Linked DNA regions of Caenorhabditis elegans. The protein of the gene in region 2 purifies or fractionates together with the protein of the main gene of each other region. This does not show direct contact. Each region holds a gene or a part of one and is shown on either strand. Other genes may lie near its edges. The genes, in order: Y106G6H.14, shl-1 and ncs-7.

Region 1 (5,142 bases), on a different chromosome or scaffold from region 2:
GATATTTCATTTAAAAAAAATTAAATCACCTTTCTTCGCACTGTTTATTCAACTCAATGTTCAACAATTTGGCTCCCGTATGTGAATTATCCGCTATCGGCTTGTACATCATTTGTGTATAGTAATACTCTTTGTCTCCTCCTCCGGGACACCTGAATCTGATAGAATCCGATGTGAATTCGATTTGTCTCTTCAACATTCTTATAGGTGTGATGCGAGGTCTTGTGATGGTCACGTCAATAAAGAAGTTTTCCAGCATCTGAAAACAGGATATTTAAATATATTTTAACGTTGAAATTTGAAACAAAAGCAAAATAGTAATTATTATACATACGTGACATTCTAATTGCTTATCAATAAAACTAATCTGGCAAAAAAAATCTCCCCTCCCGTGAAGTGAAATCGAAAATCAAATTATTTCGATTTTAGTCCAACCCTAGGAACACATTTCGATTCGCATCAAGTAAGTGCTTTAACAGGAAATTCTGTGAAGGCAAGCGGTAGCTGAGATCAGTGGCAAGAAGAATTTCTTTAGAACATCCTAAAGAGCTGCTGAAACTCTTTGACTGAAATTTTGTGATGTGCTGGTAGGAGATTCTTCTAGCCACTGCTATTTTCTAACATTTATTTCTTCTTGATATTCCACTATAATCGGAATCTCCTATCTAATATTCATTTAAAAAAATGAATAAGTATTTTGCAGCTCACTCAAGATGGCATACGTCGAGAGCTTCTACATGGATGCTAGTTTGGAGAGCGACGCCGACGTTCTTCCAGCATCGGAGAGTGATATGTTTGAGGCACAATTCATTGCCGATGTCCCACTCGACGGCGACGCGATCATTCGTATCGTTGATTCACAACTCGCTTTTGAGCAACGCAACCACGTTGTGTCGGACTATTGCACCATGAAGGCCGCGGAGCTCGAGAAGAACCCGAATCAACTGACAATGAACAGCTCAGTTATGGACAATCAGCAATATTTTGCCCCGCCAAAAAGTGAATCGTCGCAATATGCATGGAACACGAATGATGTTGTCTCTTCTCATCATCAATATGCTGCTCAGAGCCCAAACATCTACACCAACGACTATCACACCAGTGAACCATCCGATTATGCCTATATATAACTTGATGGAATGAGTAAACATTTGTATTTTGGGTTTCTGTATTTACTCGTTATTCAGCCGCAAAATTAGAGAAATCTAGACTTTCGCGACGAGACCCAGCTTATCTATTTCAAGGTGGTCGTAGAATCGTTTAATTTAAGACTTCTCAATCCCTATTCACACATTAAAAAGCAAAACTACGATACTTGAATAGCATTAGTTCTGAAATAGAAAGATTAAAAGTAAAGAAAACCTCGATTCAAACGAGTATTTGAAAAAGGAGAATAGAGGGAAAAAAAAGTTTATCACAGGTTGGGCAAAGTTTCAATAAATATCGACAAGTGTTTGAGAAATAATTACAAGATGTCAAAAGGAATAAATATTGCAAATTTAATAGTCTTAATCAGCATCCGAGTCTGACAAATATTCAGCATACTCTTCTTCATTCACACGATCCTCTTTCATTGCTTTGTCTAGAAGAGCAGCGATATCAGCATCCTGGAATTATTTTTTCTATAGAAAACTTCTATAAAAAACAATATTTACTTTTGTCACATCACTCGGCAGCTTTTGATCTTGATTCCTTACAAATGGATTGGCTGACGAAGCGAGAAGAAGTCTCACACATTCCACGTGGCCTTTGTAGGCCGCTGCATGAAGAGGCGTATCACCGAGTTTGTTCTGAAAATTTAATTTTTAGAGATTCGTTACATGTGAAAGAATATTTCAACAAACCTGAACCGAAACTGCAACTTTTGGATCCTTCAACAACGTATCCACTGCTGGCGCGTGTCCACCATGTGAAGCCCAGTAAAGTGGTGTAGCTCCGGACTTATCGAGGGAGTTGACGGATACCCGCTCTCGAAGACATTCAGCCAGCATATCCATATTTCCACGTCGAGCAGCTTCATGTAGGGGATTCGGGAGCTCTTCCACATTCTCACTGATCACTGAAAAAATAAATATTGGAATTTCTAGAAATCTCGATGAACTCGGTGCAGTTTCGAATTATAAAAGAGGAGGAACGACGGTTTTGCAAAATTGAGATGCGGTTTGATGCATGGCCATTTAAAAATGATTTTGTACTAATGAACTGACGAAAAAAGTTCAAAAACAAGTAATTTAACTAAAAACTGTAAAACCATGTGAATTAATCTACGCTTCTCATCGAACCGCGCCGCAGCTTTGCAAAACATTCCTGATTGTGCTGTAAGTATTCACCATAATTAGCTGGAACCAATCCTTTTTTGCCTCCGATGCTTGCTTGGAACCAATCTTTGTTCGGCTGCTCGTCGCTGACGTACATTAGATCTCCTTCACTGAATGTCAGCTCTTGAGCCTGAATTTATTCAATAATTGGGTTGTTTTTTTCAAATTAAAGCTTACAGATCTGGCTTGAAAATCATAAAGTGCTCGATAAACTTTCACTCGTCCTGGCTTTGGAGCTGGTGGTGGTGGAGCCATTGGTCGAGCTGATGACATTCTGATAAATTTTAAAAATGTTGAAAAATTCATATTTCTAATCAGAACAATAATATTTTTAAAGTAGAATATATTCACCAAAACAAAGGTGTAAAAATTGAAGAATAAATTTTTTTGATCATTTGAAGTAGAAATCCGTTTATTAGCTATTTGACAGAGAAATTTAATACGTTGAGACCAGTTTGAAAAATGTACAAATATCGTAAGGAATTTATGGATAATAGAAAGTCAACGGTCCGCATCGTTCTTCTCGAATTCGACGAATGTGACGAAGGCACGGAATTGCTTTGGCAAATGATGGACGAAGACGGTCTTGGAGCATTGGTCGAATGTCGGTTTCTATGAAGAATAACGTTGTTGGAAGTCTCTTTCTTGCTTTCATTTCCTGAAAAATTATAGATTTATTTTCAATAAAACAAGTAAAACAAACTTACAAGTTCTCGCCAATTGTCCAAAACCTCCCTATCGCTCCTTGTCAGCTGTTTATTAGTTTTCCCCAGGATTTTGCTCTTTTTCATCAGGAAATCATCCATTTTGCTCACTATTTCATTCATCATTTCCAGCGTTAACCGGCCTAGTTGATACTTTGGAATTGTTTTGAATTCTTCATCCGTTATCTGTGGCACAATTCTGATATCATTTTCTTTCGGTTTAGACGATAATCCTTGTTCATTCGGTTCATTGGTTTCGACAAGAGCAGATGATTCTTTACTTTGAGGTACCAATTGTGATTTCACATCGACAATCGTGGAAGCTTCAACTTTGATTCCGAGAAAATCATTCAATTGACTTTTGGTGCAGTTCATACATGTTTCTTCACAGTTGTTTTCCAATTTTTGTTGATCAAAAGCTGCATCATCTAGTAACAACTTGATATTCTTCATTGTATTCAAGAGAGGGCTGATTGCTGAAAGAAGTGATAATGAAGAATGCGAGAAGTTGTGAAGAAAAGTAAACGTACTTGTTTCAAAATTGGGAATATTTTCTCGACATATGCGGAAATTTTCATCGGTCTCTTCGGTAATCCGATCAATAAACGATTCCATTCTGAAACAGGTAATGTTTTAATTTTTAATTTTTAATATGTTATGTTTTGTAGTATTAGAGATATGTTTAATGTATCAACAATTGAAATTGAATCAACGGAAAAGAGCCAAATTCGATAAAGTCTAATTTTAGGGAAAAAGGAAGCAGTGGCCGTTTCTGCTGGATTTAAGAAATAAAGAATGCAGTAGAGCAAGAAAAAAATCTGTTCCAATTTAATTAAGAAGTTATAGCTAATTAAAAAGATAAAACAATTAAATAAATAAAGACAAGACGGCAAGGAACGATGAGTCATATTCGCGCCGTTTTAATTCAGATATACTTCGAGAGGAGTACACATCCGTGGGCGATAGAGCAGCCACAGTTCGAATTTCTAGGCCACGACCATAAAAGCGAATTTTCAAATTTAGATTTTTATCTTTGTTAGAAACGTTTTTCTACAAAATAACATCATATTTATACCTAACCCAATGAAGATAAATGGAAGAAAAAGACGAATTTGATTTATTTATTGAAAAAGCTGAAGAAGTGGTTCGTCTTTTTGAAAATGGGCAGGACGTGAGTTAATTGATGCGATAACGCGTTATAACACTGAAAAATATTCAGTTTCTCTCATCTTTTAATTTTTCAGGTTCGCAACGAAGCAGAAAAATTGCTCAAAGATGCTCTTTCTGTTGACGCAGAATGTGTTCCGTCCACATGTGTAAAGCCAGATAAAATCTGCAAAATCTTAAATGTGAGTTGTTTTTATTTCAAAAGAGATAAAAAATATATTTAATTCTCAGTATCATATAAATAAAACAAGCTCCCCACCAGTTCAAAGTATTCGAATGCGCCATTTTACTCGATCTCCAACAGAAAATAAAAAAGTAGGAGTCATAAATATCTCAATTTTCTGATAAAATGATTATTTTTCAGATAATAAACACAATAAAAGTACAACCTAACTCGTCTTCATGTCTACGATGCACAGTTTTAATAATAATTTTTACCCTTCTTTGTCTCATAGCTTATCATTTCTACTTTTTGCGATTACCAACACGTTGTCCTCGGCCAACGTGGTGAATGGCTTTATAAATGTACAGCAATTTGTTCAAGACATTTGTAATTCATTCAAAATAAGCATGGAAAAGATCGAAATGTGATTCAATGGGAAAACATAATGAAGTAGAGTTTTTAACCGTGGAGAAAAATCGATACAAATAATAGTATCATAATGAGGAGATCAAGCGAGATCGAATCAGTCTTCGGTAGTGACGGCACTCGCCGTGCACTTTTCCATAATTTCCAAACTTTTGTCGTGGTTTTTAGAGAGCATTTTTCTGTAAAAAATGTATTGTATATAGAGTTAGGAAGAAGAAATTACGTACAATAGTGGTAAATCATCAATTGGCTGGTAAACAATATCTTCAAGAATTGGTAAAGGATCTCCTCTCTCCAAATGAATTTTTCGAAGTGTTGCTTCCTGAAAAAAACTTTCCAGTTTAACACGATTGTTTTTAACGTA
Region 2 (9,267 bases):
ACTTTCAATGAGTTTATTGATTCCGGAAAATGAGAATTGCCCAAGCAAAATCTACCCCGCAAACACAAAACAAATTATTTTAAAAATTCGGAAGACTAGGCGATAGGCAGGCAGGCTCGCCTAGCCCAAATTTTACTACATAAAGTACGCCTCCGCATTTCAAATGTGGAAATCGTAACAGTTAATAGCACTATTAACGTATTTTAAGAGATTACCGTTTCACAACCATTTGAAATGATTCTACAAAACTCGTTACATACTGCATTAGTGTTTAAAACAGTGAGAACTACAGTTAGAAACAATGTATCCACAAGTGACAGTCCACTTTCAAAATATTAACGTTTCACAACTATTATGAATAGTTTTTTAAAATAGTTTTTTAATCGGTACGTATTATAGTTATTTTGATCAACTAGTTCATTCTTGATTATTCTTTCCTCTTTTTTTAAATCCAATTTAACCGAAAAAAGCACAAAAAAAATGAGGAGAGCCAGTCAACTACTGCCAAAGCAAGCATTTTTAAAGTCTAAATTAAAATTTCAACAAATCAAGTAAACAAGAAAAATTGGGTTAGGCACGCAAAATTATCCACGGGACTATCAAACACCATGCTTCACCCAAATATGTAGAAATTAGGCGTTAGGCAGGTAGGCAATGGTGTTCTTTCCTAACATGAAGTTTAATTTGACTAATTGAAGTACACATAATCAACCTTCAAAAAACTTTTCAAAAAGTTCAAAAATTTTCAAAAACAATTAAAAACCCTCCAAAACGTGATTTCAGATGAACTTCAACTTGTACTTTTTCTAAACAATTCTTCAACTTTTCCGTAACGTGCCTTTTCTTTTTTCAGCTTATTTTGCTTATTCTTTTCTTCTCTCTTTATCCAATTCAACCGAAATAAGCACAAAAAATCGAGGAAAGCAAGTCATCTCCTCTCAGGCAAAAATTGAATATCGAGTTTCATTTTCTCTCTCTCTCTCTTTCTTTTTCTTTTTTTTCTAGTCTGAAGATGTCTTCAGAAGAGGTCGACTTTTCCAATTTTGTCTATCGTTTTCTCTTTCTTTTCCTGGCATCAAGGAGCCCGCGAGCCTTTAGAGAAGAGGGCTCTTTACACACAAAATTGGATAAAATTGAAAAAGAAGAGGAAAAGTGTGAAACTGGAAATGTAACACTTCTTCCTTCCCTCCAGTTCTTTTCTCTCCTTTTCTTTCCTTCACATTTTCTTTTGTCCCACGGCTTCTTGCTTCTCGAACCGATCTCGACGTCGTCTCGCGTCGTTTACGGGTAATTTGAGCCCACACGTCGTCACCCGTTTGGAGCTCTGCGCCAAGGAAACCATCAAAATTGGAGTGGGAAAGAACCTTATGTTTTTGCAAAACGACAAAAAGTTTAAAGTTGGCTGCTGTTTCTAAAAACGTTTTTTTTTGAAACAAGTGCACTTTTGCAGTTTTTTGTGACGTGCAAGCCTTCTAGACTTCACTTTTGGCTTGAGACCACTATTCAGCTATATAGGTTATGTATTCTGAGAAAAAAACATAGTTTTTTTTGTTGTTAGGTCAGAGTTACCGTAGTTGATGTATTGCAAATGTTTGCTTAAAACAAATTATTGATTTGAAAATCTTGATTTTGAAATTGAAAATTTTCCTGTGATTTTTAAGTGAAACCGTAAGTTATATATTTTTTGGCATAGCAAACTAAAATTTCCGTTTCACAGTCATTTGAAATGATTCTACAAATTTCAACATATACTACATATGGCTCCATACTTTAAAATTCGTAATTTCTAAAAATATTTCTGAATTATCTTGAACTCGAAAACTTAGTCATCAGCCCTTTGTGTCTCCAATTTCTTTCCAGAATGTAACATTTCTGAAACCCCGGTTTTCCAATGTACCCGCATATCTCACGTCGACCGACCTACCTATGCGCCTGTATTTTTATGATATGTTATTATCCCAAAACACATACAGACTTACCCTTTTTTATTTCGATTAATTTATTTCAAACTTCAAACGAAAGCTCGATTATTTAATTTTCAAGCAACTGCTGTTGTAGACCACTTGAAATATAAGTTTTCAAAAAAATCAAACTTTCAAATTCTTCAATATATTTCCAATTCCCATAAATGATTTCTTTTCTTTTCATTAATTCGCTTCAACTTTCAAAATTATTTTCATAACTCCTGCTTTACAGCGTACCCAGCAAAATAGAAAAAATTTTCCTGAAAACGACGTCATCAGGAAAAGTGTTCAGAATCCGTCGTCGTTGTCTTCTTCAGAATGGCTTCGGTGGCGGCGTGGCTGCCGTTCGCGAGAGCCGCCGCTATCGGATGGGTTCCCATTTCGAGACAGCCCATGCCACAGGCCCCAGTTGCAATACAGGTTAGGTTTGGTGGGAATAATTTTCTAAATTTAAATATAAAGTAGTCCAAATTTGATCTGAAAAAATTGCGCCAAATATTTATTTCCCGATGTTTTTTTACACTGTGATATTTCTAAAAATTTTTGTGTGACGCCACACATCTTCATTTTTAATGAGAGACACTTAGGCAGCATTCTGTGTTTCTATTCGGTCATTTATAGACACTATAAAACAGTGGAAATTTCCACGTTCTCACAATTAGGAATTCTTGTTCGCGGAAAAGGTTCAAACATCAAAAAATACGGAATTCTTTCATAAATTCTTGTTCACACACGTGTTAGGTGGTCGATGTCTTTTGAAAATTTGGAAATTTGATACGAGTGTCATATGCAATGAGAGATTAGATCCTCTTTTTAGTTCCAGGATCCGTAGTGAGAGGGAAACTAAATATACATTTTGAACTTTGGATATGCAAAATTTTTACTGTTTCATTTATTTGGCAGATTCCTCTTTTTCATGAACTAATTTTTTGTGTTGCCTGTAGATCTCTATATGTTCACAAGCTCTCAATGTGATATTTCAGGCCAAAGACCTCGCGGTTGATCATGTCTCTGACGAAAAACTAGCAATCAACATATCAGGACGAAGGTTCGAAACGTGGAAGAACACGTTGGAAAAGTTCCCAGAGACTCTATTGGGGTCAAATGAAAAAGAGTTCTTTTATGATGAAGACACTGGGGAATACTTTTTCGATAGGGATCCGGACATATTCCGACACATTCTCACATTTTATAGAACGGGAAAATTGCATGTGAGTTGTTTGTTTTTGTTGTTTGAGCCAGTTTGAGACAAAAAATTGCAAGCATTAAAAATTAATGTTTTTTGAAACAGTTTTTTTAAAAATAAACTCTCTTCAACTTTCTAAACTTCCGCTGAAAATGTTCTTAAAATGTAGAATCATGCTTTGACATTTTTTCTATAAAAAATCAAATTTTAACCCATTCACATAGGCGCTAATGTCCCCGTCTACCAACAAAGCAGCATAGACCTGTCTCGAGCCTACAGACAAACCGCAGGCGGGCAGCAGGCAGGCGTTAAAATTAAAAATATCTGCCTACAAACTTACGCATTTGTTTTGCAATTTTTTTTTGGAAATATACAGAATTCAATTGATTGTAAAATAGATGCAATTTTTATTCAGAAAAATATTAAATCTTTTGAGCAATGCTTTTTGAGAATTTGGAGCATCGCCGGAGAATATTTTAAATTAATTATGCCTAATGGTGCTTAAATGGCCTAATAATGTAGTAAATCCTTTATAAATTCAATTTTTTTTAAAATTTTATTCAAAAGTGACGATTCCTCATTTTTTATTTATTTTAATAATGCGTTAATAAGTTTTACTCAAACACTGTATGAGTATGAACTTGTAAGACTGCTAGATATTTCTCAAAGGAAACGGAGTAATATTTTTCGAAAATAAATTTTAATTTCAAAATAAATTTTATTTTGTATTATAATTTTCAATATTATTTTTTAATAAAAAAAATCTTTGAAAAATTTAAGATTTTCGTTTGAGTATGTGGTGACTTGTTGAAATCTATTAAAATGCGCCACTTTCCATTTTTCCCAGAAATCCATATTTTCAGTATCCCCGTCATGAATGTCTTGTTGCATACGACGAAGAGCTCAGTTTCTTTGGAATAATGCCTGATTTGATATCAGATTGTTGCTATGAAGACTATAAAGATAAAAAACGAGAAAATCAAGAAAGATTACAAGAAGAACGTGTAGAAAATGCGGATATATCAACATTAAAATTGTCTCTTAAAGAGAAAATGTGGGCGGCATTCGAGAATCCGCACACAACATCAATAGCACTTGTATTTTATTATGTCATTGGATTTTTTATTGCTGTATCAGTGATGTGTAATATAGTGGAAACAATACCTTGTGGGTATGAGGATAATGTGTCTGTGACGTGTGGAGAAGCCTATGAAGAGCAATTCTTTGTTATCGATACAGCGTGTGTTATCATTTTTACGATTGAGTACTTTTTACGGTTGATTTCTGCGCCGGACCGAATCAAATTTATGAGGTACGTTTCTTTTAATATCAATATGTAAACTTCTCACACTAATAAGTTAAATATTCACTGATTTTATCAAACTCATTTGAAACAGCAATAAAATTTTGAATTTTCTAATTATCCAATTTTGACGCTTTTTGATTACCTATCGGCTTTAGAGACAATTTAATCAACCAATTATTTAATACAAAAATAAATTAGCAAAACGCAATTAGGAATAATAATCAAATAAAAACGAATTACCCAATGCTATGGGAAAGTTCGCGAAATTCAAGATTTGAGCTAAAATAATCGTAATTCTTTTCAAAATCTTGTGCCGCCAAAAAAAAATTGGAAAATTTTTTGAGAAGTCTCATTACAAAATTCAACCATTTCAGTATGACCCTCTAGCCCGTCTTTAATGCATTTTTATGATTTCAAAAGTTTTGTTCAAAATTATCAGTTCAAAAATATAGAGATGTTTCTCATAACAATCATGAAACTGTAAAATAATTAAGGACACATTTGTCAAAATTGGATAACATGTTATTTATTCGTCCTTATTTTTTTAACCATTTAAATGGTTTTCTTTTTTCAGGTCAATAATGAGTGTAATCGATGTGATTGCCATAATGCCTTACTACGTTAGTTTGGTACTAACTGACAATAAGGATGTATCCGGCTTGTTTGTCACTTTAAGAGTTTTCGTAAGTTTTTTCTTTTGTTAATCCTTAAATTGAATATCCAAATATTTTTTCGAACATTCTGATAAAAATCATTAATTCTTTGATCAAATCCTTCTAAAATTTACAGCGTGTCTTCCGAATATTCAAATTCTCACGACATTCCCAAGGTCTTCGAATTCTGGGTTACACTCTTAAATCGTGTGCAAGTGAACTTGGATTCCTTGTATTTTCACTGGCAATGGCAATTATCATATTTGCCACTATTATGTATTATGCGGAGAAAAAGGTCGACGCGACGAGATTTACCTCGATTCCGTCAGCTTTCTGGTATACAATTGTGACTGTGAGTTTTTCTTTGTAAAATTAAGAAACGGGGTTGAAATTTTGATTTTTACGTTAAATACTCTCCATAAAACCTTCAACGTTTTGCAAATACCTTATCCCAAATGCACTAGGAAAATGTAAATTTTAAAGTTAATATTTGCATTGGAAAAATTAAAAATTAAAATATTTTTTTTTTAATTATACAAATCACTGAAGACTAAAGGTGAAACCTATTCATACAACACAGTCATTGTTTTTCATAATAAAAAATTAATTTTTCTTTCAGCTAACAACTCTTGGATACGGAGACATGGTTCCATCAACAATAATGGGTAAAATAGTTGGAGGAGTATGCTCACTGTCTGGAGTGTTGGTTATTGCTCTTCCAGTTCCAGTTATTGTCAGCAATTTCTCTCGAATTTATCATCAAAATCAGAGAGCTGACAAGAGAAAAGCACAGAAGGTATGGTTTTTCGTTCAGTTGTAAAACCTTTTTAAACACTTAGTGATTTTTTTGCAAATTTGTTGGATTAAATTTAATCAATTTTCAGAAAGCCCGTCTTGCTAGAATTCGGATCGTTAAAAACGCGTCTGGACTAGCATTATTCAATAAGAAGAGAGCTCATGAAGCTCGGATGCTAGCATTTGAACAGGGTAAGTTGGTTTTTTTTTTCATTAGAACATTTCGTATTGCCGGCTTAAGTTAGTTATTATTGAGTTGTCACAAAAATATTTAACTTTGGAAATATAGAAAAGTATTCCATTTTGTTTTTCGGTCTCTTGGCATTTCTGTTGGCTCAAAAAAAGCAAATATAAAACATTAAAATTAAAAATTAATAAAAACAGTTCGTGATTCCGCTTGCTCAAGAGGGCACAAATTTTGAATCCGGTATAAAAAACAGATTCTGTGGTTTTTTTTTATTCCGTTTTTTTATATTTAATGTTTTAGGTTTTCGGTTACTTAATTTATTAGCAATGTGAAACATTAAAAAAAAATTATGTGTACAAAATTCTAGATTATAATTGAGATAACTCTAAAAAGTGCATTTTTGCAGGTCATCTCTCTTTCGATGCTCTCCGAGACGAAGATATCTTCGAAATCCAACATCATCATCTTCTTCAGTGTCTAGAAAAAGCGACGGAACGTGAATTTGTTGAATCAGAAGTGATGTTTGAAGGTGGAAGAAATACTCCTCCGCCCAGTGAAACAGCTTCATTGAAAGGAAAAACAAAGCGTAAAAGGCGATTGTGAGTTTTTGATTTTCAATCCTTTGAAGATTTATTAGTCTCTGGATTTCAGGGTAAAAAAATAAGAAAAAATTTTATACTATTCATCAATAAAATAAATTATCATCAAAAAAATTCACTGATGCTTTCTTTTCGTTAATGCATTTAAAATGGAAAATAATCATGAATGAAAATGAAAACTGTAGAAAATATTGTTGCGTTTTAAAATCCAAAATTCAAAAATATGCCTCTGCAACCCTGGCTAAGATGTCTGCTTGAATTCCCACCAAACATAGAACAAGGATATTAGGCAGCGTTGAAATACCATGTTTTCAAAAATTGTAGTTTCAATTATTTCTTGAATTTTTTTGAGTTTCTTCTTTGTCAGCAATATTTTGAGTATTTTAAATTAGAACCCCATTCGAAAAGTGAGTGTACCACGAAATGGTCTCGTTGGTGCAACTTTAGAGGGAATTCAAATAGCAAAATTGACAAAAGTGGAAAAACCTTAAATTCTTGATGTTGGATTTACTTCTTATTTTTGTCATTTTTCCTTGGTGATATTTTTGATTTTTGGATCACAATTTTGAGTTAAAACAACAAATCTCCTGAAATTTATTTTTTTTAGATGCTGTGTTTCAAAAGAAAATGAAGAAATGGAAGAGTTGGATCGAGAGACTCGTGTAACATTCAATCAGAATATGGATCAGGTATAAACTAACACCAGTTATTTGTTGAAAATTATATTATTAATTTCAGATTTGTGAATTACCAAAACCTGATGAAATGGAACTCAATCATCGAAATAATGACAAAATTTGCGTATCGCAACTGTAATCTACTTCTTTATTTTATTTTTTTAAAATGATTTCTAAAAATCATTTTCTATAGAAAATTTCTCTCATTGCTCTACCGGTTCCGTCTTTCTAGAAGCTAGTTGTTCTTTTACAAAAGTTTTCTGAAATCATCCCTCCCAACTATTCGGTTTCCCCAATCTCTCATCAACGATGCAATTTTGTTTTTTTCTGTAATTTTTACTTTTTCAAGTTAGAAACAAATATATTTCCATTGAACCCGTTTCCCGAAAAACTTCATATCGCTCTTTTTCTTTTTCAGTTCGAGGTGACTTTTCTCTAAATTTTCCCCGCTACTAGGAGCCTCTCCGATGATCTGCCCATTGGTGGCAGATGTCTTTCATTTTTTTTTTGATTTTTCAGATGGAAATATAAAATTGAAGTAAAATTAACTTTTTATGTGCAGTTTTTTTTTTTTCAATTTTCCAGGTCTGTCGATAAAGTTTTATTTATTTTCTAATTTTAGAAAACCACAAAGGGAATTACTTTTTTTTAACTTAGTGAGCTGGTTCATTTGTATCAGCTCATTGCTGAAAAAATGTAACTGTACAACATTCCGCTTCATTCCAATTGCATTTTAAACTACAAAAAACTTTATAAACAGATACATAAAATAATGCAATTATCAACAGTTTATCGTCGGGTTCCGTCCTCAAAGAAGATTCCTCCATCGATAGCACAATACTTTGGACAGATTCCCTTCTCTCCAACACTTCCTGCTTGTCCGGCTTGTCCAGCTGGTCCTGGATTTCCATCAGATCCTGGTTGTCCTGGTTGTCCAGATGGCCCCTTTGGTCCTGGTTGACCTGGTTGACCATTTTGTCCTGGAGTTCCTGGTTGTCCAGGTGGTCCTTGTGGTCCAGCCTCTCCTGGTGCACCTGGTTCTCCTGGAACAAGTGGCTCAGATGGAGCATCTTGACCTGGGTTCCCATCTTGCCCTGGTGCTCCTGGTTGTCCATTGACTCCTGGTGGTCCCTTTGGTCCTGGTTGACCTGGTTGTCCATCTTGTCCTGGACCTCCTGGCTGTCCATCAAGTCCAGCATCTCCAGCTGGTCCTGGTGGTCCTTGAACTCCTGGTGGTCCTTGTGGACACGGTTTGCATGGTGGTGGGGTAATTGGGTCACATGGAGCTTGTGGTGGACGTCCTGGATTTCCAGGAAGTCCAGCTACTCCAGGCTTTCCTGGACGACCTGGCTTTCCTGGGGTACCGACGGGTCCAGCTGGACCTGGAAGACAGCATCCAGAGCAGGATCCTCCAGCGGCCCCAGCAGATCCAGCGGCACCAGAATCTCCGTAAGAAGCTTGACGGGCGGTACGGTTGGAACGGATCGAGGAGACCTCGTTGAGAATGTCTTTAGCAGAACCCTTACAGTACCGGATCTCGTGATGAATACCCTTCTTCACGTGCGAGACGTAGTTGTAGACCATCGGAAGTGTGATACATACCTACAAAAAAGTTCATAAATGGGTTTTTGGACACAGTTTAATTTTTAATTCACTTCCAAATTATCAAAGAAATCATAATATTAGTCTTGTTTCTACGTTTTTACTCACCGAAAGTACTGCAACAACACTGAATGTAACAGCAGCATAGGCCACAAAGCGATACGCTTTAACACGAGTCTCCACCTCCATTTCTGAAGCCGACAAATTGTGGCTTTGCCCGTTTCTCTTATATATTGTTCAGTTTTTCAACGGTTTTCTCAACATCCGATACGGCTATGCTAGTTTTGAGATTCTAACC
Region 3 (7,034 bases), on a different chromosome or scaffold from region 2:
GTGTCTGATCAAAAATCTTTAAATTAAAAAATAAGTGTTTTTTAATTATTTACAGGTATTCAGTTGACCGTTGTTATATCTCATATGTGCACAAAGATATGAAAAGTAAAAGAGCAAAAAAATGCATGATCAGAAAATTTTGAAAAATATTGCCAAAAGCAATTTTATTCTTCTCGAAATCAACATGGGCGTCTAAAAACACATGTAATATTTTGATTATCAATTAGGCTATTATAATCAAAAAACCATTAGAAGTTATCTTTCAAAAAATATTTTTGAATATTTTTTCTCGATGTTTTTGAAATTTTTCCGAAATTTCCGCAACTTTTGTTTTACGATTCATATCTTTGCGCACACATGAGATATAACAAAACGGTCAACTAATAACTTGTTAATAATTGAAAAGCACTTATTTTTTGATTTAAAGATTTTTGATCAGACACCTGGTTTTGGAGTTACAGGCAATAACATGAAAAATTAGATTTTTACCAAATTGGACCCAGCTCACTTCTATCGACTGTAATTCAGAAACGTGAGGAGATCCAACGTTGCACTAAACTGACCAATTGTAGCTTATAATGTGCACATTATTGTTGTAATACATTACTTTTGTATATCTCTTATGGATTTAAAGTTAGCACCGCTCAAAAATTAAAAAGGCAATTTTGCAAGCGTTTTAGGCACTTTCAACAGATGTAGCGCTACCAATAAGCCATGCCTGAGTCTGAAAATTTTCAGTTTTATTTAACTAACTATCTAATACATCTACGCATACAAAGTTTTTGATTTCATGAGGAAATAAAAAAAATCGAAAAAAATTTTTTTTTTCGTTGTCATAGTTCGCAGTATTAAATAACCTGGAAGTTGACCGATATGGCTGATATCGTTGGGCTTGTCATTACTAACAGTCTTCTATACAACCGCAAAAAAATATCCAAGAAAAAATCAAAACAAAAAAAAAACGACAAAACTTATTGAACGGTCTAATAAATAAAACAAAAAAATGGGAACAAGAAATTATATTTTTTTCAGTTCGCCACTTTTCTCAACTAAACCACAAACTTGTTTTTTTTTCACTGCAAAATACATGATTGCCAAAAAATTAATCTGGTCGTTGCCGGCTTGAAAGGTTAAGAATTTTATGCTTACAAACATTTCCTGCCATTTTCCAGATCCACTTCTATTTCTTATTAACTTAATCTAAAAATAAATCCCACTAGAATGATTTTCAGTTTCACAAAAAGTTATCCTTTTGTAAACGTAGCCAAAAAGCTATTTCCAATACATTTTTCGTGTATAATAGTATCCAAAATAGATATTGAATTGAAATTTGTTTTTTTTTAAATATAAGCCCACCATTTCCAATAGGGAAGTTTAACTTTGGGAGTAGAAAAATTTCGATAACAGTGATGTTAAAATTTTGATGTTTTCCGGCTACATACACTAACTTTTGAACTTTTACTTTTCGATAGGCAATATTCACAATTTCATAGAAATGATTATGAGATTCACAACGAAGGAGAAGGAAAGAGGTTTGGTAATGTTGCTGATAGATAATAAGGAAACGTGGGTGATAACAAAAAAATACAAACAAAATATCAGGAAAGGCTAGATATTTAATAATCCGCTTGAGAATGAGCCAAACAACTCCATCGATGCTAAAATGTCTGAATCGGAACGGCATCGTTGAAGAAATTCGGCTTTGGAAACTTTTCCGTTATTTGCAATGTTGAGGTTCTAAAAAAAGTCAAAAGTTTGTTAGGTATTACAATTTTTTAGCATGTTCCTAAGTTTTTGAAAAAACAGCAAGTGTAGAAACACATCCTTTTCACCGTGGAATTCCGAATTGCCCATTTCAAGCCCAACCCAGTACACACAACAAAGTGTTTCGTTTTTTTTCAATGTATATCAATTTTCAACTTTCAAGAAGTAACTATAAGCCTAATGTATCTATAATAAAAATTCTTAACATCCCATTTTCTCTCTCATTCATGTTGATCAGAAACATTTCAAGTTCCGTCATAAACATTACCTTGAACACAATTTTAACATGTTGCCGACATATGGTCGCAAGAACAGCTGGCTTCAGTGACGAGTCCATCATCTGATACATCGATCTGAGGAAACAATGCACTTTTGCACACAAATAAGAGAAAGGAAATAAAAACCCACTTCACAACATGGAAAATCTCGTTGTAAGCTAGGAAACCGCATCGATTGGTGTCATAGAGAGTGAATATCCAGTCGAGTCGTTCGTCAAGTGTCCCTTTTGCAATTTTGGAGTAGTTTGTGATGAAATCCTTTAAAGTATATGTTCGCTTTTTTTAAAAGTACTTGTTAAAACTGTGAATAAGACTCCGAAACAAACATACCAAAAAAGTCACAGTACCCACTCGGTTTTGATCAATATTTTTGAAGACAAGTTCCGCGTAACCTTTTGAGTCTCCATTTGGAAATATACTCGCATAAATTAACTGAAATTGCTCTAAGTCGACAGTTCCAATTGGCCATAACTGCAAAAAATGGAAATAAAAATCTCAGTCACAACTTTTCAAATTATCAGTTTCAGAAACTAGGTGTATTCAATATTTTTTGAACCCATATTTAGTAAAAAAAAAATTTCCCGATATTATTCACACCAAAACTACAATTCGAAGTAAACTTCGAAGGACTATCAAACTTTAATGTATGGTCATTGTGACGCGAGCAGTAAAAGCTTTTAGTACAGCTATGAATTTTTGAGCATTATGACATGAAACTTTGAAATCGAAAGTGCGCATATGGAAAACTGGGAAAATACAAAGAAAGTGAAACTATTGAAAACGGATGTTTAAAATTGGCCAATACGCTGTTTTCTCAAAACAAATATTTTTTGCTCTACATCAGAAGTGAATAGTTGATTTTATACAAATTGACAAATTCGATCCTATTTTCATACTCACCTCCTTGAACGATCTATACAATTGTTGAATCTCCCGTTTGGAAAAATTAGTGATTTCAATCAAGTAATCGATGCTTGGCGGTGTTTGCCTTTCTATTGCAGGCTGTGTGTCCAATTCTTCTTCCACTGCAAAACATTTGTTTTGTTTTCTTTATTTCATTCAGTAGTAAATTATGGAACAGTGAGACTATATTCTTATGTTCCTGTCTGAAAAAAAGCCGAATTAAAAACCATTCGTCAATAAACTTTCCAATTTAGACAACTTTTTAACCGATGTGATTTGTGAAAAATGCACCCATTGTCAGTTTAAGTATTATTTTTTGTTATAAAAGAAACCGTGCGTAAATATATACATTTAGTCAATTGAAGCTGATTTTTTTCACATACTTCAAATGTGCAAATTCTAAAGGTTTAGATTAGATGTAATGTCTTTATATACATACTTATAAAGACAGAATTTCTTAACTAGATTTTTCAAAATAAAAATTTCATGGTGATTCCAATTGGTTCATTGGCGGGAACATAATTTTATTCATTTAACAACTCATTCAGCTCGTTTCGATTGTATTTGTGCTTATTTTTTCAATATTTGTATGTACATCTTTAGTCGGTAGGTAACCAACAAAACAACAATGCATTTAAATATACATACAACGTAACCTACCAGAATACAAACATTAAAGAAGTTCTTATGTTTAAACCAATTCCCGGTCGCTGTAGTATATACATACAAGCGGTTGAAAATCAGGGTTTTTGCCATATTTAGCCAATAAATCTTTTGATCACGCATATCTTTCTTCATAATGAACATATGAATAAATTAATTGCTTAACAGAATAATGGACTGGTAAACCCATTTTATTTGTAAAACTGGCAAAAGTGTGAACTAACTCTAGGTCGCATTTATTTTTCAAGTCTTGCTTATGGCGGCTCAAGATGAAGCATACTCTCGAAATTTATCAATCGATCCTTGGACTTTTTTGTTCCGCAGAGGCTGGCGGAGTTTACAAGCGTACGACGTTGTTCCACTTTTAAATGTTTAAAGCTTTATAAATGAAACATAGATGAACATTCCGAATGCTAAATGCAAAAAGAATCAGCAAAAAGGCTCACAGCCCCGTCATTTTCTGCCAAAAAACGCCGTTGAAGGATCGATTGCCAAATTTTAGTAGTAACGTTTTTGGTTGATTTCTCGCCATCACTAACTGTTGTTAACAACCCTAAAGTCAAAGACAACCGTAACACAAAAAACCAAGGAAAGATTTTAGCAAGCATTATTTAATTACGCTTACCAAAAAAAAATGTTTTTTAAAGAGGCCGAAACTTACTCTCAGCCCGTCCCGTCTTCCCGCTTATAAAAAGTGCAGCAGGTGGAACACTGATCGCTAACGGGATCAACGCTTGATGCAGTGGTCTGGTACATGAGGCGGTGCCGATCATAATCGAAACTTTACTTGATAAATGAACGACAGGATGAAGAATAAGTGGAGTAGAGAGTAGAGATGTAAGACTAACGAAATTTGAAAAGCTTATGGGTTTGGTTCGAGAGAAGAAGAGAAGAACAATAAAACGAAAATGTTGAGTGGAGTCTAGAGTCTAAGTTAACACAAAAAATGAAGGGGATGGAGGGGAAGGAAGCTGTCGAACGAGAAGAAGACTAAGTCTGGTGCCTAGTGGCGATGGTCGGGGAGGGAGTAAACGCCATCGTCACTCTTCACATTTCATAGACATTGGAAATTCATCTCAGTGACTTGAATGAGATGTCGTAGCAGCGGGGGGACCCCCTTGCTCAACTGAATCACCACTACACCATGTCATTGTGTCGCCGACTATTGTTCCAGAGCTTCGCTCTCTCACCCCTTCATTATGTTGGAAACGGAATCGTAGTGGTTTTCTAGTGGTGGAAAATGACTTTTTTGGAAAAAGAAGAAAATTGAAATCGGAAAAATTGAATGTGTCTTCGAACAAATTTTGTTAAAACTTAAATACTGAGATACACTGACAATAGTAAAAATGTGGCCTGAAATCTCAATATTAAAGGTGTTGCGAATAAGTATTGTCCGTCAACAACTGGGTTTCGTATTATAATGCTTAGCCTTGAGGTGGACGGGCGCCACGCCCACTTCATGGTCGAACTTATGTGGTACGACGCGGAGCCTGGAACTTGTCGGCCCATGCTTATCAATCACACATCAGTATTTTGCGGAAATCTACGTGTTTGTCTGAATTATTAACGGGACATTTCACGTATAATAAAAAATATTTTGAAATACTTGGTTCGACGTAATTAATTGTGTACCAATACTTTCTATACAATAAATTTGATACATTCAATTTGTGTACAAAGAGTACTACTCTATTTACTATATCCTATAAAAAAGTGATTCGGACCGTCAGAAAACTTCTTACTTTTGTAAAAAAAACATTTTCGATTTCAACTAAATGGAATAAGCCAAAAATAAAAGTTGCCGAAAATTTGCCGAGTGCATAATGTATTCAATTCCGGCATATTCGGCGATTTTCAAAAATTTTAGCATGGTCACTTCTCTATTTCAGCCTAATTTGCTAAGAAACGGTTTAAATTTTGAGTTTTATACATTTCTCACATTTCCATTTAAAAATAAGTCTTTAAAAAATGAACCAACAAATGGGCGGAGGTTTTTATTTTGAAAAATATATTTGAGGAATACAAGATCCAGCATTCATATTTGTAGTTATAGGGTGGAAGTACATTTCTCAATTTTTGAAATATTTGATCACAGGTACAAACTCCTGAGATGAGGTAGAAATGAAAAAATTGTTTTTTAATGTAGTCTTTAAAGGCGGACTAGCGAAATCTGGGAAATATTTTTAAATGACTCCAAGTTTTTCCCTGATTCCGAATATCTATGTGAAAAATTCAAAAAAATTCCCTGATTTTATATTTGAGCTTGAAATCGCGATTTTCATTTGCGTCCCCATGAGCTTTTTTAAATCCGCGCCGAAATAAATTATCCTTGGAGCGCGTTTGCCTCATTTAGTTGTCTCCATATATTTTTACGTATTGCAGTTTTTCAGCTATTTTAAATCATTTTTGTCGTATATTATCGGATTTACTTTTTTAAAAATATATTGTTTCGTGCCATTTGAACATTTTATTCGCATAAAAATGAATGAAAATAGCTGACAAACTGAAAGAAGTAAAAATATATGAAGAAAATCAAATGAGGCAAACGCGCTCCAAGGATAATTTATTTCGGCGCGCATTTGAAAAATCTCGTGTGTGCACAAATAAAAATCGCGATTTCAAGCTCAAATATAATAAAGTCAAAGAAATTTTTTTTTTGAATTATTTCACATAGATATACGGAATCAGGGGATTTAAACAAGATTAAATGTTCTCTTGAAAAAAGTTCTGCCAATACTAAGGAAAAAGTGAGTATTCGTTCGTTTTCCCAGCCAAAAAAGAAATTAAATTGCTATCCGTGCATATTTCCATGGTGATGTCTAACTTTTATTTAACTTGTTCTCTGAAAACTTTGGAAAAACAACTCACCCAAACTGAAGTATTCAAACGGATCTTCTGGTGCTTTTATGACCATTGTCTGCAACAATATACACGTCATTGTGCAAAGAATAAATAAAAAATCAACAAGAAGCTTTCAAAAATGACTCAAAGAAATGCCATTCAAGGTGACTATGCCCCCCCAATAAAGTAATAAAGATGCCCATGTCATAGTCGGGGGCGGCGGCGGGACCACCTCAAGCTCTCGTTTTCTACAAATATTTTGATGGTTGAGGGACTGACCCCACTACGTTGCAGCCATGCATATCAGAGGAGCATCGTGTTTTGTTTCGATGAAAGCGGAACGCTAATGGTTGAAAGGAAATGGAAGAACAAGAATTGGTCATAAATGTGATGAATGATGCGAGAAGAGTTGGATGTGATAAGTTTGAAAAATTGTTGGAATAGCTGACAACAAGCTGCAAACAAATTTAGGCGGGCACCATACTTTTATATAGCCGTAGATGTCGTGCCCCAAAAATATCACGGGATTTCTAAAAATTTAGTAATAGAAATTGTAATTTTCTCGCAATAAAAAAATGTTTGAAC

What was found.
Region 1: the proteins of shl-1 (region 2) and Y106G6H.14 fractionate together in Caenorhabditis elegans (co-fractionation; one large-scale study listed by BioGRID). This does not show direct contact.
Region 3: the proteins of shl-1 (region 2) and ncs-7 purify together in Caenorhabditis elegans (affinity purification with western blotting, with the first as the bait; one study listed by BioGRID). This does not show direct contact.

Annotation. Positions count from the first base shown.
Region 1 is NC_003279.8:10,470,798-10,475,939, forward strand, and holds Y106G6H.14 (Osteoclast-stimulating factor 1), read right to left. Parts: upstream 2,593-5,142; 5' UTR 2,592-2,592; coding exon 2,496-2,591; intron 2,449-2,495; coding exon 2,331-2,448; intron 2,060-2,330; coding exon 1,845-2,059; intron 1,791-1,844; coding exon 1,656-1,790; intron 1,608-1,655; coding exon 1,509-1,607; 3' UTR 1,399-1,508; downstream 1-1,398. Other genes in the region: duo-3 (ubiquitinyl hydrolase 1), read right to left, coding at 30-259; Y106G6H.13 (Reverse transcriptase domain-containing protein), read left to right, coding at 714-1,130; ska-1 (SKA complex subunit 1), read right to left, coding at 2,803-2,976, 3,026-3,498, 3,553-3,637; Y106G6H.16 (Dynein light chain), read left to right, coding at 4,116-4,193, 4,267-4,371, 4,421-4,504, 4,554-4,700; row-1 (C2H2-type domain-containing protein), read right to left, coding at 4,876-4,957, 5,006-5,100.
Region 2 is NC_003282.8:6,376,998-6,386,264, reverse strand, and holds shl-1 (BTB domain-containing protein), read left to right. Parts: upstream 1-2,194; 5' UTR 2,195-2,282; coding exon 2,283-2,384; intron 2,385-2,947; coding exon 2,948-3,175; intron 3,176-4,013; coding exon 4,014-4,462; intron 4,463-4,479; exon of another isoform or gene 4,480-4,500; intron 4,501-4,870; exon of another isoform or gene 4,871-4,891; intron 4,892-5,030; coding exon 5,031-5,139; intron 5,140-5,245; coding exon 5,246-5,461; intron 5,462-5,728; coding exon 5,729-5,905; intron 5,906-5,993; coding exon 5,994-6,096; intron 6,097-6,361; exon of another isoform or gene 6,362-6,382; intron 6,383-6,497; coding exon 6,498-6,690; intron 6,691-7,297; coding exon 7,298-7,379; intron 7,380-7,428; coding exon 7,429-7,506; 3' UTR 7,507-7,980; downstream 7,981-9,267. Other genes in the region: bli-6 (Nematode cuticle collagen N-terminal domain-containing protein), read right to left, coding at 8,157-8,969, 9,078-9,158.
Region 3 is NC_003284.9:17,614,033-17,621,066, reverse strand, and holds ncs-7 (EF-hand domain-containing protein), read right to left. Parts: upstream 4,725-7,034; 5' UTR 4,382-4,724; coding exon 4,270-4,381; intron 3,068-4,269; coding exon 2,943-3,067; intron 2,514-2,942; coding exon 2,373-2,513; intron 2,301-2,372; coding exon 2,173-2,300; intron 2,118-2,172; coding exon 2,033-2,117; intron 1,738-2,032; coding exon 1,609-1,737; 3' UTR 1,446-1,608; downstream 1-1,445.